2 linked regions of the Neurospora crassa OR74A genome follow. The protein of the gene in region 2 interacts with the protein of the main gene of each other region in a pairwise test. Links are inferred from orthologs where the notes say so. Each region holds a gene or a part of one and is shown on either strand. Other genes may lie near its edges.

Evidence for each region. The genes of interacting proteins can lie anywhere in the genome.
Region 1: the proteins of NCU05276 (region 2) and NCU02733 interact in a two-hybrid assay, tested with the Saccharomyces cerevisiae proteins (2 studies listed by BioGRID). The link is inferred for Neurospora crassa OR74A from reciprocal best matches to the Saccharomyces cerevisiae genes YIP5 and TVP23.

The regions. Positions count from the first base shown.
Region 1 is NC_026501.1:3,358,348-3,365,949, reverse strand, and holds NCU02733 (golgi apparatus membrane protein tvp-23), read left to right. Parts: upstream 1-3,483; 5' UTR 3,484-3,644; coding exon 3,645-3,735; intron 3,736-3,936; coding exon 3,937-3,982; exon of another isoform or gene 3,983-4,164; coding exon 4,165-4,448; intron 4,449-4,584; coding exon 4,585-4,739; 3' UTR 4,740-5,036; downstream 5,037-7,602. Other genes in the region: NCU02735 (hypothetical protein), read left to right, coding at 1-14, 122-550, 613-747; NCU02734 (citrate lyase beta subunit), read right to left, coding at 1,689-1,945, 2,039-2,701, 2,771-2,810; NCU02732 (hypothetical protein), read right to left, coding at 5,385-6,607, 6,719-7,100. UniProt on the Saccharomyces cerevisiae protein: Golgi membrane protein involved in vesicular trafficking.
Region 2 is NC_026504.1:5,493,649-5,501,098, reverse strand, and holds NCU05276 (Yip1 domain family), read left to right. Parts: upstream 1-3,354; 5' UTR 3,355-3,618; coding exon 3,619-3,663; intron 3,664-3,760; coding exon 3,761-4,217; intron 4,218-4,313; coding exon 4,314-4,756; 3' UTR 4,757-4,986; downstream 4,987-7,450. Other genes in the region: NCU16890 (hypothetical protein), read left to right, coding at 1-568, 635-845, 907-1,320, 1,404-1,774; NCU05275 (ubiquitin-60S ribosomal protein L40 fusion protein), read left to right, coding at 2,131-2,131, 2,201-2,207, 2,299-2,479, 2,652-2,762, 2,829-2,915; NCU05277 (hypothetical protein), read right to left, coding at 5,241-5,348, 5,482-5,787. UniProt on the Saccharomyces cerevisiae protein: Possible role in vesicle-mediated transport. May be involved in proper membrane localization of Rab GTPases.

The sequences.
Region 1 (7,602 bases), on a different chromosome or scaffold from region 2:
GAGGACAGTCACGGGTCTTTGGAGGATGTTAAAAGACATACCCGAAGTAAATATCAACATGCGGTGGGTAACTGTCACTAACGTCATTAATAGCAATTTGCTAATGTAGTTCAAATTACAGCAACGAATGAACGAGCATGCCCAACGAACCGACCACGGTACTGCCCGTCGCCAGAGCTCCAAAGCCAGGGAGGTCGAAACTATATCAAGACGCCCTGATCATAGATCAAGAGCGGTGGAGCCAGGACGAAGAAGCCGAAGACAGCAGGCGGAAGCTAAGGAAATGAAAGAGCTGTCTGCATTCTTTACGGGGAGAGCTGACGGTGAAAAAGCGGAAGCTGAGAAAATACACTACCGACCTCATCGAGAACAACGATACGACACTGCTACTGCTAGACATCCGGCTTCAGATATCCGCCAGCAACGAACACATGATTCACCCAGCCCTTCGCTTCTTCCAAGTAGAAGCACTGGCTCTACCAGACAGCCTTCGCCTGCTTCTCTCCGGCCAGACTCTCTTTTCTCTTCGCGTGGTGATGATTCAATACTTGTCCTACCAAATCGTCCGAGTAGCAGATCAACTACATATTTCACATGGTCAACAAGTGACAGGGATCCGGCGCCAGTGTCCAACGTTTCCATTTCAGAGAAACCCCGGAAGAGCATTCAAAGTTCTGCTCGGAAGCTTGTCCTGCAGGAGCGGGAAATAAAGGGCCCACATGTGGTTTCGGAGGATTTCAAGATTAGACCAGCTTCGAGAGCAAAGCGTCATCCACGGAAATCGATAGTGTACCAGGATGCTCAAGTCCAGACATCGTTTGATGCAGATCGGAATCAAAATCGCCAATACCCAAAAAATTCTATACCCCAGTATCAAGATTCCGCAGTCATGACAGCAGACGAAAACAGTAACCTCAAACAACGTGTCTCCATGCTGCCTGCAGAAGCATTGCCAACTATGGACAAGAGAACTGTATATGAGCAGCCCTCATCCAATACAACAGCAACAACGCTACTAGATGTACCACCGCAGCCACAGTTCCAACCTCAACCACAAGCCTGGGTTACCTCTAATGCCAGGGATAGACTCTTTTCTCAGCCGTTTGTAGCAGCGCGTAACTTGTTTGCCCAAGAAGGCTGGCAAACATATCAGGAGCCTTCTCCTAAGCAAGCATCCGGTCGCTATACGAAACTCGTTCCGCCTGAAAGAGTTCGGGCTGTAATGCCTTCTCACCAACCAACCTCTTTGCGCCCTGCAGTTGATCAAATTTCAAGGTCTATTTCATGTCCTCCAGCTCAGCTTTTGTATGCTCATACGCAGGATCCGCCTCGTGAAAGTATGGAAGATTACATCCGCAGAATCGAGCAAGAAGCTCTGCAGAGTTCCACCAACAACGAAGAAATGGATGGATCACAGCCCCATGGTCCAGACCTGACTGAAGGTATAGGGCGGCAGCAGCTCGGCCATGGTTTATATCCCGAAGGCAATGATACATTTCTTCGGGACACTGCGTGGTACAATCAGCATCAACTTCCAACAGACACAGCACATATCCAGGTACAGGATCCCGAATATTTCGACCTAGAGCATTACGGGCAGGGCATAGGGGGTCAAGATACCCGGTTACCGAGACTGTGGGAAGATCCTCGCGAGTTCTGAGATGTGACCTGATCCAGCAGAGAAGCCATCACTCCGGCTTTTGATCTTTCCACTTTGCTTTAATGTTTTCGATATCCATTCCACATTTTGCGGCTTTGGCGACTACCGCCCGAGCCTTTCCAACCACAGGAGCATCAATCATCTTTCCGTCCAAGGTCCAAGCACCTCGACCAGCTGCAGAGGCCTGAGCATCGGCAACGAGGATACGAACGTACCACTCAACCTCGGCCTCTGCTGGAGCAAACATTCGCTGAGTCACTTCGACCTGACTGGGGTGGATACACTCTGTTTGAATGCCAAGTATTAGTGAAGAGCACAGTTCCCATAAGAAAGGCACCGTCGGTACAAGGAATGGAAATTCAGGAATAGGTAACTCACGCTTTCCGTTGAAGCCCATCTCCTTGCCGTTTTGACACTCCTCCTCTAGCTGCTTTACCCCCTCTGGACCCTTGTATGAGGTACAAACAAGGTCAATGGAGCTAGGGAGATCGAATGCTCTGGCAGCAGTTACAATAGCACTTCTGGCGTACAAAAACTCGGCCAAACCTGGCGTTCGCGTAATAGACAGGTCCAACGCAAAATCCTCAGCAGCAAAGATCAGACCACTCAGATACGGTGACGCAGCACATATCGAGCGCAAATCCATGACTGCTCGGGCCGATTCAATCAAGGCAAGTAGCTTGAGAGGGCTTGCCGTGGGGTTAGAAGAATGTCGCTGTGGTGCAGCATGGCGAATGACATCTGTAACGAAGGACAGATCACTAGCACTGTTGACCTTTGGGATGACAATGGCGTCAAGGTTTGGGGCGCTTGCGAGAGTGGTCAGATCATCAAGCGCATAGGGCGTCGAGACAGCATTGATGCGTACAGCAAGCTCTCCAATGGAGGCCGGCTTGTCCGAAAGTGAGGACAGGTGGTCGCGCAATTGTGTGCGAGCGGTCTGCTTGTTTGCTGGAGTCACCGAGTCCTCAAGGTCATAGGTGATATTATCACTAGCCAAGGAGAGTGACTTGGTCATGAACTTCTGAGAAGACGCAGGAACTGGGTCATGCTGAGTTAGCAACTATTGCAGCCATATGACAGGAGGGTTATATCTTGGATAGACCGCACCATATAGGAGCGCCCGACGGAGGACGGAAGAGGTAGCCATGATGTTCAGTTTCAAGTCAACAGGTGGGCTCTGCGGTATGTCTGGATGTTGACGGGATGGAAACTATCTGGGCTCACAAGTATGACCGACCCAGCCACTCATCCACTGCATACACTGCTAACAAAGGCCCGAGAGCATCCTAAACCACTCAGTGACTACTGTCTGTAAATCGGGAAGAGGGGAGAAAGTCAACAGAAGGATGTTGCTGAGCTCAATGGGGAATCGAATGGCATGTGACGTAGCACCAGCGCGGAGCTGTAGCTTCGGGCCGCTGTCGGCTGGGGCGCTATGTCCACTAGATTTTACTGTCCTCCGACCTCCGTTCTCTGGCTCAATATGCATGGTAACTTTGTCCCCGGAGAACCTCATTTTTAAGCAACAATAGGATAAGAAACCGGGAAGCACGGGGATTGCTTTGACGCAAAAAGACATTGAGTTCCATATCGAAGTAAAGCCTGGTTATTTCAGTTCGTAGGGAGGCTTTGTACGGAAGACCAGCATGGTGTTCATGCCCAAGGGGAAACGTGGTTGTAGGTAACGATAGTGCATTAACAGCAATGCTGAGTTGTGTGGGGAAAAGGTACCTCCCAGGTCCTGCCAATTACCTGCAAAAACTGGGTATTTCGATACCTTGAAGTCCTCCCCACCGGATATTCAGCCGTTAATACACCCTAGCTTGTGTTCGAGACGGTCTGTCAGCGCGGAGCTTAGGTGTTCTGACCTGCGCAGTTGCGCATCGTGCAAACGGCTTGGCTTCACCTCTCTCCAACTTCACGACGACACCATTGTGACAAAGTACCTTCGAACCCGGTAACAGGTCACCTTCTGATCCTGATGATGGAAGCAACACCGACGCCCGGCTCTTTGAGCTGGCGCTTGAGCTCGCATCCTATTACGCTCCTGACATTCCTCGCTTTTCGATCATGTAGGTGCTCGCAGTCCCTCTTCCTAGCTCCCTTTGTCAGTGTCTCGAGGATTGGATGTAGCCCATTACGGCCATGATGGGGAGGAGAATGCATTCCGGCAGGATGATGGGTAGAAGGTCACGAAGAGAAGACGGGGGAGGATGGAGCACCCGATACCTGCTACCAAGACACGCTTGCTAAAACCCGATCGCGAACTACAGCCAGTCTCCTTGTCTACCTTTTTGGCCTCTTATTTACCGACAACCTGTAAGGCGACCCCGTCAGCCCCCTTAAACCACACCATATCAGATGCTCGACTTGCCCACTTGCTCGTCTATACAGTCGCAAGCGAACGCGAACCCGAGAGTGTTCCCAGCCTTCCACAGCTTTCATCCATCAGAAGAAATCAAGGGATTAGATTGCTAACCACCCCCCCAACCGACCGGCAGTGTCATGATCTTCATCATAACCATCCTTCTCCTCGCCGGCGACTTTTACTACCTCAAGAACATTGCTGGCCGCCGACTCGTGGGCCTGCGTTGGTGGAACGAGGTCGATCCTAACTCGGGCGACTCGCACTGGGTGTTTGAAAGCAGCGAGCCGGGGACCAAGATCATCAACGCGACCGACAGCCGCTTCTTTTGGCTGGCAATCTATGCGCAGCCGCTGCTGTGGGTTGTGCTGGCTATTGTGGCCTTGTTCAGTTTGAAGTTTATTTGGTTGCCTCTTGTTGGTATGTGCCCCTTTCCCCTCTATCCATCGTACTAGCGCTTGCCAGTTCCCTTGGCTTGCTTGTTGTGCTGCGTGGTTTTTGGGTTGTCAAAAAAGGCATTATATGCTAATCGGAGGTTAATGGGCGTGTTGTATAGCTATTGCGTTGGTTCTTACCATCACCAACTCGCTTGCCTTCTCCAGGTGCGACAAGTTCAGCCAGGCTTCCAACATTGCTGGAACCGCGTTCAGCTCGGGCAACATCGCTGGTAACATTGCGAGCAACATGGTTGGCAGGTTCTTCTCGAGGTAGAGAGCAAGCAGGACGAGATTCCCCGAGGTCAGGGAAAAAGTTGTGGCTTTGGATTAGTATCCGAAGGGACTGTTCTCGTCAGATATCGATAGAGAATTCAGCCCCGAAGATACTTGATGGCCATCTTAGGATTCTCATGTTTTCATGATGTGCATTATGGGTCGGGCTCGAAATTGGTGACAGTATAAGGAACTTTTGCACGACAAATTGCCGATGGTTACCTTCTAGATTCATTGCCAGCAAAAATAGTATCTGAGCAAGACAAGATGTGTGAATTTCAGGGTCCGTTATATGGTGTCCGGCTCAAGTACTAGTAGTCCATGATTTTCTTGTTTCATGCGGATCCTTCGGACATGACATAGGCCATGGCTCTGAGACCACCATTCGGTACGTTCACTCCGTTTCCTCGATGCATTCACATTCTCTGAATCGCTCCATAACTGTTCGCAGAATAAAACAGAAAATGGAAATAGAGTTGCTGATCAAAGATTTTTCGATTTATAACCATCAGATATTGTAGCATCGCCCCTACTGATACGGACATACGTAACTTCCCAAAGATCAACAATGAAAAAGGAAATACTCATATCATCACCCTCTTCCTTAACTACTTTGCTCGGTTATCTTCACTTTCCAAAGCATTCGTCATAGGTGCCTGGAGCCCCTCTGCCCTCCCGCGTGCTGTTCAATGGCCACATCAAGCTGTCGCTCTTCCTCCTCCAACCTCCTGATTTCCTCCTCTGTCATGCCTTCCTCGACCAAATGAGCATACGGCGTTGACAAGCTCCTACCCTGTTGCTGCTGCTGGCTGATCAGACTACCCCGGTTGCTATCAGTGCCTGCTCCCCCATGTGTGAACGATGGTGCGCCGCCACCGCCGCTGTGCAGAGTGGTAGGCGACCCTCCTCCTTCTCCCCCTCCGGACTGATGATCAGAGTACATGGTAAAAGACCTTCCAGACTGATGATCGTGCGGTGTCTGCTGCTGCTGCTGCTGCTGCTGCTGCATCATGTGGTAGGACGGGGCGTTCGAAGCCGGGCTGTCTCCATCTCCTTCTAGTCTCCCATCTGCTCCGGGAAGAACCACCTGAGGGGGAACGCCAGAATCAATGTTAGGAACAACGACACTACCGCTATTCCTGTTGGCACCGGCGTCACCCATTCGCACGAGGTTGTCAGAGTAAGGCGAGTGAGGCGCGCTCGTCACGTCGTGGATGACGCCCGCGTTGGCTTCCTTCTCGGCTATGAGCTCGTCACCGCCGTTCCGACCGCCGCCGCTGGCGAAGCCCCCGTAAGGCCCACCGCGACTGGTGCCGTCTCGAAGGGCGTTTTGCTTGTGGCGCCGCCGGAGGCAGAAAAAGACGATGCCGCTGATGAGAGCGAGGCCGAGGAGGCCGCAGGCTATGGCGATTCCAACGATGGCGCCAATGGAGATACCTTTCTTGCTCTTGAGGTTGGAAGGCTCTCCGGTGCCGCTGCTGACTAGGCCGCCGCCGTTGGTCGGGGTGGCCAAGGTTGCCCCTGGAGTGGGAGAAGGTGATTCGGTTGGCTTTCCGACTCCAGCTGACTGGCCGCCCCCATCGGAGTCGTCCCTGATCGGATGTTCTTCCGGAAAGACCGGGTCAGGGTTGTTGAGCAAAGGATTTAAACCATAACCCTCAAGTATGGTATGGTCTGGCGCAATGTTCCCGATTGTTGTGAAGAGCCGGCTGTAGCTCCTGCCCGTTTTGCCGCCGTTCTTCCAGACAACATCAAAGTACAGCAGCTTCAGCGGGGCTGGCTGGGCTGGCTGGGCTGAGGTATTGTTGAGGTTGAGGATAGTCCAGATATTGTCAATTGTCACCGAGCCTCCTGTAGCATTTGTCTCAACTGTTGGCTCGTTGCCTTCAGTTAGCACGAACGTTCCAGTCATCACGTCACGCCACGGCGAAGAGAGGTTAGGCTTTTAGACAATTTGTGATGCACTTCCTGTTGACTTACCGGTGAGGTTGATGGGATACGACGTAGATGTTGGCAAGGTGATGATATCGCCCTGAGGCGCCATACCTAAGGTTAGATCTGGCCAGCTCCCAATTTTCTGCGAGGTTTTTGCAAGGCTTTGAAGCGAGGCAGGCTCGACTATCGTAGTGTTGCTGTAAAGGTTGACGGTGTTGACAGTGGTACCGCTCGTGTTTGTGATATTCCATCTGAACGTAGTCGCCTCCCAGATTACGGCCGGCTTGCCTGGTATTTCTTTTGTCCCCTGGGTAAATCCGTCACTGTCGCTGAACATAACGATGTCCGTATGAGAATTAAGTGAGGCTGCGCAACCTGCCAATGGCAGACCGGCTAGCAGCCAGCTCCTTTGCGTGGCTATTCGCATGATGAATCGACTCCCGCTTTCCTAGGCCTCCCCCTGTATCCGGCCGTCGACTTCCGAAATGTGTCGTGTAGATTCTCACTTCCTCAAGCAAAATGCCTTGTAGTTCTAGATATACGCATCTCCTCTTATAATCGGCTTCGTTTTCGTTGGTGCCGGTTCGAATCCAGAGCAGATGTGCTGACACCGGTAAGGGACCAGCTGCTAAGAGTGTGCCAGATGAACAAAGGTGTGAGAAAATGGACAACCCAAATGGAACCGGGCACGATGAAATGCGAAGCGTGTGTAGGTAAGACGGCCAGGGTCTGTGGAGTAACAGAGCGAACGAGGCTCGGGAGTAAGCACCAATACCAACTCGGGATAGGAGCAACTATCCGTATGGAAGATTGGATGGATTAGACGCACAATACCCCCATCCGCAGACAGATGAAGGGTGGGACAGGCAGAGGGCGAGGAGTAAAGAAAAGGATCAGATAGGATGGGAGAGCGGGAACTCCTAAGCAAA
Region 2 (7,450 bases):
TAAGGTAGTGCGCAAAGAAAAAGAAGTGCGCGAAACCGAGCGCAAACATCTCTCAGGCAACGACGCCAAGGAACTCTACCTCGACTGCTTGCAGATCATCTTGCGCAAACAAATCCTCTGGCTGATCCGCGAAAAAGGGTTCTCGGACGAGCTCGAGTCTATCTGCCGCGATCTCTGGGACCTACGCATCCGCAAGTTCATTGGTCTCAAAAGCGTTTCCAGGGCATCATCACTCCAGGCGAAAGGAAAGGGGATTGATCACGATGGAACGGGGTCGCAATATGGTGGCGGTGGTGGTGGTGCGCTCTCTCAGTCGGGTTCCGATAGCGAGATGGTCATGTACAGCTCGCAGGCGGAAACGACGGATACGTCGGCTGATGAGAGTGTGAAGAGCCAGAGGAGGAGGTCAAGCAGGGTGAAGGATTGGGAGAGCGAGCTGTGGGATCTGCCTGGCCCGATGGAAGTGCTGGCGCTGATTTATATGGGGTGTCTGCTCAAGCAGGAGCCGGTGAGGGTAGGGGATATTTATCGGTGGGCGAAGAACAACCAGTTGCCGTTTCTTGGTGCGGTAAGTTGGTGTGTAGTTTTGTACTCACAAGAAGGTTCGCTTACTGACATTCTTCTTGCTACTCAGCTTGAACTGGTGCCGAACGAACTACGAGAACGTTTACCTGGCTGGGCTCAGCGCACGCTATTAACACGATGGGCAAAGTTTGACGGAAGCGAGCTTCACAAGTCGTTGTTGACCTTGACCCTAGGTTTTAAGAAGAACTATGGCATGGTATCACCACCACTCCCAGCACCGTCACTCCTCATCTTATACCTCAAAGATCTGGCTCTACCACGTAAGTTCTGCCGCCCCTCTTCCTCTAAAGTCACACACTCTAATCATCATCATCATACCAGCCGAGGTACACCTCCACGCCCGACAAATTTGCCTCATGCTCAACCTCTCCTGGACCTTCCCAACGCGCCAAAACATTAAAGACGACGCGTCTTCCTTCACCGGCAAGACCTCTCGCTACACCCTCCTCGACATCCCAGACGTGCTACTAGTCGCCTCTCTAGTGCTAGCAACCAAGTACATGTACCCCATGGACGGCGTCAAGCGGTATCCACGAGACAACAACGACCCATTAACGTTGAAGATGGACTGGGATGCTTGGGAGGCTGAGTTCGCAGATCCGCCCGAGAAGCCGCTGAGGAGGCTCGACTTTGCGACCATGGATGCGGAGAAGGTTTGGACTTTGAGTAAGGAGCAGATGGTGGAGTATTTGGATTGGTATCAGGAGACGCAGCTGAAATCATGGAGCGCTGCTGGTATGTCTTTCTCCTTCTCCTCCTTTCCCTCTCAGGGTGTCCGTCAGAATGCAAACGATTTACTGACAGACACTTGAAAACAGACGAAACCGAAATCGAACGTCTCTTCCCTCTCGAGAACGTCCTGCGATTACCGGAACCCGGCAGCAAAGACATGACCGATGAGCAGCTCATTGCTCGGATGCATCGAGTGCAAAAGTCGATGACGCTGGTTGAACCGAGGCCTGAGACTAATGATGGGAAGAATATCAAGAGGCTGGGTGCACTTCATCAGCGGTTTAGGTCGGTTGAGCAACTTGGAGAATCTGGACCTGCGAGAAGGTTCCATGAGAAAGCAGCGGAGATCTCGGGGCTGTCACTGAAGGCTTTGGTGAAGGCGGTTTATAGTCTGGAGGAACTGTTGTATGGTTGGGAGAAGAGGGAGAAGAGGAAGATGAGGTTGGGGGAGGTATGACTTGCTTTGAATACTTGCCTGAGCTGTTTCTCGGGATCAAACCAGTATGAGACCGATACTGTGACAGAAGATATCCATATTGAGCATTAGAAGAAGAGCACAAATCGGGTGCGGTTGAGGAAACTACTTAGCAATCGTTGGTGGAGGCGACCTTCTGGTGTTGAAGATGGAGGTACAGTGCAGATATGAAGCTGATGAACACTGTGACATGTGCACGCACCACTTTGCCCAGAGCGGCCGTTCCCATAACCCCACCATCATAGCTTCGTCCTGTTGCTGTTCCCCGACATCATCACATCACTCCCTCCTTCACCACTGCACCTCCAACTGACCACACCTAGGAATAACCGGTCAAGAGTAAGTTAATTACACTGCTTTAGACCAAATCCTCAATTCGTCGAGATGCTAATCTGACCTGAACCGCAGTGCAAATGTGAGTTTTCACGACGTTCCGCAGCACGAAGCAATCAAGCGGAGTTGAGTCAGGTCACTAACAAACGGGACGTTGTACCCCTGGTGTATAGCTTCGTCAAGACCCTCACGGGCAAGACCATCACGCTCGAGGTTGAGTCCTCCGACACGATTGACAATGTCAAGCAGAAGATTCAGGACAAGGAGGGTATCCCGCCCGACCAGCAGCGCCTGATTTTTGCTGGCAAGCAGCTCGAGGATGGCCGCACCCTCTCCGACTACAACATCCAGAAGGTCAGTGGACTGGTGGCCCCACAGCGCGCTTATGACGTAGATGTTATAGGGGTTGGGAATGGGAGGACAACTGCTGTGGTCAACTTCCATTTTTGCGATGGCCATGGGAACAGAAATGGGATTCAATTGATTGGTGTCATGGTCGACTTGCTAACATGGATTTCTGCTATAGGAGTCAACCCTCCACTTGGTCCTCCGTCTGCGCGGTGGTATCATCGAGCCCTCGCTCAAGGCGCTTGCCTCCAAGTTCAACTGCGACAAGATGATTTGCCGCAAGTGCTACGTACGTATACTCTATATCATCTTTTCGCCTTCTCAAATGTTGAACCAAGGTCTAACTTGTTTCTAGGCTCGTCTGCCTCCCCGTGCCACCAACTGCCGTAAGCGCAAGTGCGGACACACCAACCAGCTCCGCCCCAAGAAGAAGCTCAAATAGACAGCTCAGTGTTACGTACCAGCATCAGGGTTTGGCGCATTTGGGCTTTTTGGGGGCAAACGGGTATGGTTATGGCAACGGCATAAGGACAACAGGACAGGGAAACACGGGACCTGGGAATGGATGGCTACGGCTGAAAACGTCAAGTCGAGGACTTCTACGTAGCTCATGAATAAACTCGGACATTGCCCGTGGGGATACACAAAAGGGCATTGAAGCTCTCCTACCAAAAGCAGTGATCTTGTAGAATAATTTGAGCTTGATTATGAATGTCGCTCGAAACAGCTCAACTACCTTGATGGCCACTTTGGACCCACGTGACATATTGCGGGGAGTTACTGCAGGGACCGGGAATCCGTTAAGGGGGGGTGCACTGCTGCGGTTTCAGGACCCCAACAGGGGGCGTGCACGCAAGTGTACAGCGGTACGTACCTCTACCTACCTACCTCTACCCTTTGGTGTACGCGGCTCACGTTGAAACAGCTGTCCACCACCAGCTTCCGGAGGGACCAGACCACCTAAGTAGCTTTGGAGGAGCTTACCTATCGAGAGACCGACTTACACTAAGCATAAACTAATCATACCATTTGACTCCAAGGCGATTCACAGCTATCGGCGTGTTCCCAAGCTCCAACCAAATCACCATCGAAAGACTTGTCATCACAGCTCACATCCGACCAACAGACAGCAAACAACCGCCACCATGTCCAGATCAGGCTACGATGCAGTCGTAGACGTCGACGACGAGGTTAGTTCGCCCTCTCCTCCCCTCCCATCCGCTCCCATGGTAGTCATTGATCTTTACATACCCAACTAACCACCCTTTTTTCTCCTTCTCTCTCCAGGGCGACCTAGGCCACACCGACCTCCAAGAAGATCTCGAATTCCACCAATCCAACTTTTCCGAATCCTCCCCCCTCGGGCGCAACGGCACCAAATCCACCCAACACACCAACACCACTTCCACTTCCTCCCTCGGCGGCGGGTTACTTCCCGCTCCCGTAACCGCCGCCCGCACCTCCTCCAACTCGGGAGGAGGAAGCAGCAAGCGCTTCCTCTGGACGCTCTCCTTTTACGCGCAGTTCTTTGACGTGGACACGTCCAGCGTGCTGCAGCGGTGTTGGGCGGCCCTGTACCCGCGAGCCAACTTTTTGGATGTGTTGGAGGGAAATCCGGACCTGTACGGGCCGTTTTGGATCGCGACGACGGTGGTGCTGATTTTGTTCTTGGGCGGGACGATTAGTGATTATTTGGCGCAGACGGGGAAGGAGGCGTTTGCGTATGATTTTCGGTTGTTGAGCGGTAAGTTTTTTGTTTTTTCTTTTTCCCTTTGGGTGAATGGGTGATTGATTTTAGTAAAATTGGGGGCTGATATGTGATCAAAAAAAACAACAACAGGCGCCGCTGGTCTCATCTACGGCTACACCTTTGTCCTGCCGGTCGCTTTGTACCTTGCCCTGCGATACTTTGGTTCGGAATCCGCCAACCTGCTCGAGTGCTGGGCTTTGTACGGTTACTCCAACCTCATCTGGATCCCTGTGGCGCTGATCAGCTGGTCGCCGATTACCATCCTCAACTGGGTGTTTGTGGGCGTGGGGTTCGGCGTGTCGGTGGCCTTTTTGCTCAGGAACCTGTATCCGGTGCTCAGCGCGACGGATCGCCAGACGAGCAAGGTGCTGCTGTTTGTCGTGGTGGCGCTGCACTTTGGTTTGGCCCTGGCCATCAAGGTGCTCTTCTTTGCGCATGGAAGCCCGGCGTTGAAGGATGGTCCGAAGGGAGCTGCCCCGGGTGGTGGGGATGCGAAGCCTGCTGATCCGGCTACGATGATGATGATGTTCTAGGGGCAGGAGGTTAGGATATGAAGGAGATAGGCTTAATAGGAAGAGAGGTACGTTTGGAGCTGTGTGGCCTTGTATCTGATATTTGATGTTTTACTATCTTCATCCGTCAACAAAAGGTTATGGGGGAGGCGTTTGCCGCGATTGGTTTCTGGGATTGATAAGTTCAAGTTCAATCGGATTTTCAATTCAACCTATGACTTCTGCTGAATTGAATTGCGCTGGCAGTTTATTTCACCCATTTGCTGCCCTTTCTTTGGTACGCTGTCCTCCTCTTTCTATCCCGGGTATAACAGGTACACTACAATACGTTCCATCCATCCAGTTCCCAGGTGGTAGAGGTAGACATAAGAAACGCCTCCTCTTAACTACTCCCCTTCTTTTTTCCGTTTTCCTGACCATGCCCTTATGCGTACCCATCATCCTTTTTTATCCCATCCCTCGTGCCGCCCCACCACCCCTCGTGCCGGGGAGGGAGGGACCCCTTTCATTGTCCATACTCGCTATCGATACTTTGAACGATCTGACCTGCCCATAGGGTAATCAAGCCAAACCGCTTGCCACTTCCCCATGCCGCTGCTCGTCTCGAAATCATCTCAAGTCTTCCTAATACTACCACCCACAACAACCCCCCACATTGAAAAAAAGAATCAGTGCCCCATCCTTATTGATGAACCAAGTAGGAACAGCCCTTGTTGTCTGGTGCTGTTCATGGGACTACTACTCACGGACTTGCTGTTGCTCTTGCTCTTGCTGCTGTCTGAAGACGAAGACGGTGACGAAGAAGAAGAAGATCCAAAAGTGGAGTGGAATTTGTCCTTGAGGAGACTGGTTCGGCTGGAGAAACTGGATGTTGAGGTGGTGGATTCGGCGTAGTGGTGGTTCTTCTTCTTGGGTGAGGACTTTGAGGAAGACTGGTGGGAAGAGGCGAGAGGTGGAGATTGTTCCAGGGCGCGAGTGCCTTGGACGATTTGGAGGGCGTGAGAGCGGGAGGTGGGGTGGGAGGGGAAGTTAAAGTTTGTTGAGGCGGACATGATTTTGTTTTTTGGTGTCTGTTGGTCTTTGGGTGGTGGTGGTGGTGATGGTTGGTCGAAGAGTCTTGATGAGGATGTCTTTAGATGGTGTTGGTGGTGTTCAAGTTGTCCGTGTAAGTGAAGCTTCAAGTTGGTTGGTTGGTGGTGTGGTGTGGTTCTTGTGTTCTCGAGGAAGGTACCTAGGTAGGTAGGTAGTACTTGAGATCTGAACGAAGTCTGAAGCTGTTGATGTTGATGATGAACAAAAACACAACATCCTGAAAAGCGAGGCCATCAACTCCTCTTATACATCTCTGATAACTCTGCTTTCTTCCTCCTCCTCCTCCTCCTCCTCCTCCTCCTCCTCATCTCCCCTTACCCATCTGAACCACAACAATAGGTACCTACACTAATTTCGGTGAGGTGAGAAGGGTAAGGCCGATTTCGTCGAACAAAGCAAAGCCACTCCGCCTTTCTCCCCCATCTACCATCGGTATCAACGTATCTCAGTATCCATCCATCCCTTGATGTAAGTGCTTACCAGGTGTGCGTATACACATACGTGTACTACCTCCTACCCTCATCTCCACAGTAACCAAAGAAGAAGAAAAATCAAGGGCATTAGGCTACGCATTCCTTGTCCCTACAACCACGACAACAACAGATGGAATAGTAAGAACCCACCCATGCTCTTGCATATGTAAACCACGTGGGAAACCCTGTCAAACAACTCAGCCCAATTACTACTACTACCAAAAACAATGAAAAGTGAAGCAAAGCAAAGGCCATCATGCCTTAGTAATGAGTCACAGCACCGAAACCAAATTTTTTCTAGTCGAGTATTTGTCAATGGCTAGGTACCTATGCATATTGAAAATGACAGCCAAATGCTCAGCGTAACTCAATAACGTCTACCAAGTATACTATCAAAGTAAGGCTAACTAGGTAGTCTAGTCGTGTGTGGCTGCGCCATCCATTATAATTCACTATGATTCATCATGTGCATGTGCAATTGGGAACCTTTTTCTAGGGGGGGGAAAGTTACATTTTTTTTCGAAACGCCACCCAAGGAGAAAAAAAAAAAAAATATATATATATATATATGTGTCGTTACACAAAGGCACAAAAAGTAGCCGCGTGTGTACGCAGTAGGTAAGTTTGGGAAAAGAAAGACTTGGTCGGCAGTGGATTGCCGAACGAAAAAGCTTACCTACCTCTAGCCGTGCTGACAGCGGCAGGTAGGTACGAAGACTACCTAGCAGGCTACGTTGATGGATTACGTTTGTTTACGCAGTAATAGTTGTCAGTTAAGTTAAGCAACGTAAGTAAGTAGGCTACCAGAATTTTCGGGTTGTATTGGGAAGCACTGCCGTCGTCATACCGCTTTTTGTTTTGTCGTTTCGCTTTGGGGATGTTGGATCGGGGAGTTTTGGTGTTGTTTGGGTCGTTCGACGTACGCGGCCAACCGTGATAAGCAGCGGGGCGGGGATATACATACACAAGGGTCGAAAAGCTTAGTCTAGTTACCCGTCCATTGGAAATCTTATTAATACGTACGTACGTTGGTCACAAAGCTCGGGGTGAAGGTCCACGCATGATGGTGATGATGGTGATGTACGTAGGGTAGTTCAGCCTTAGACTTCACATGTTTATCATTTCAGGGCTGACGTACGTTGGGTGTGGA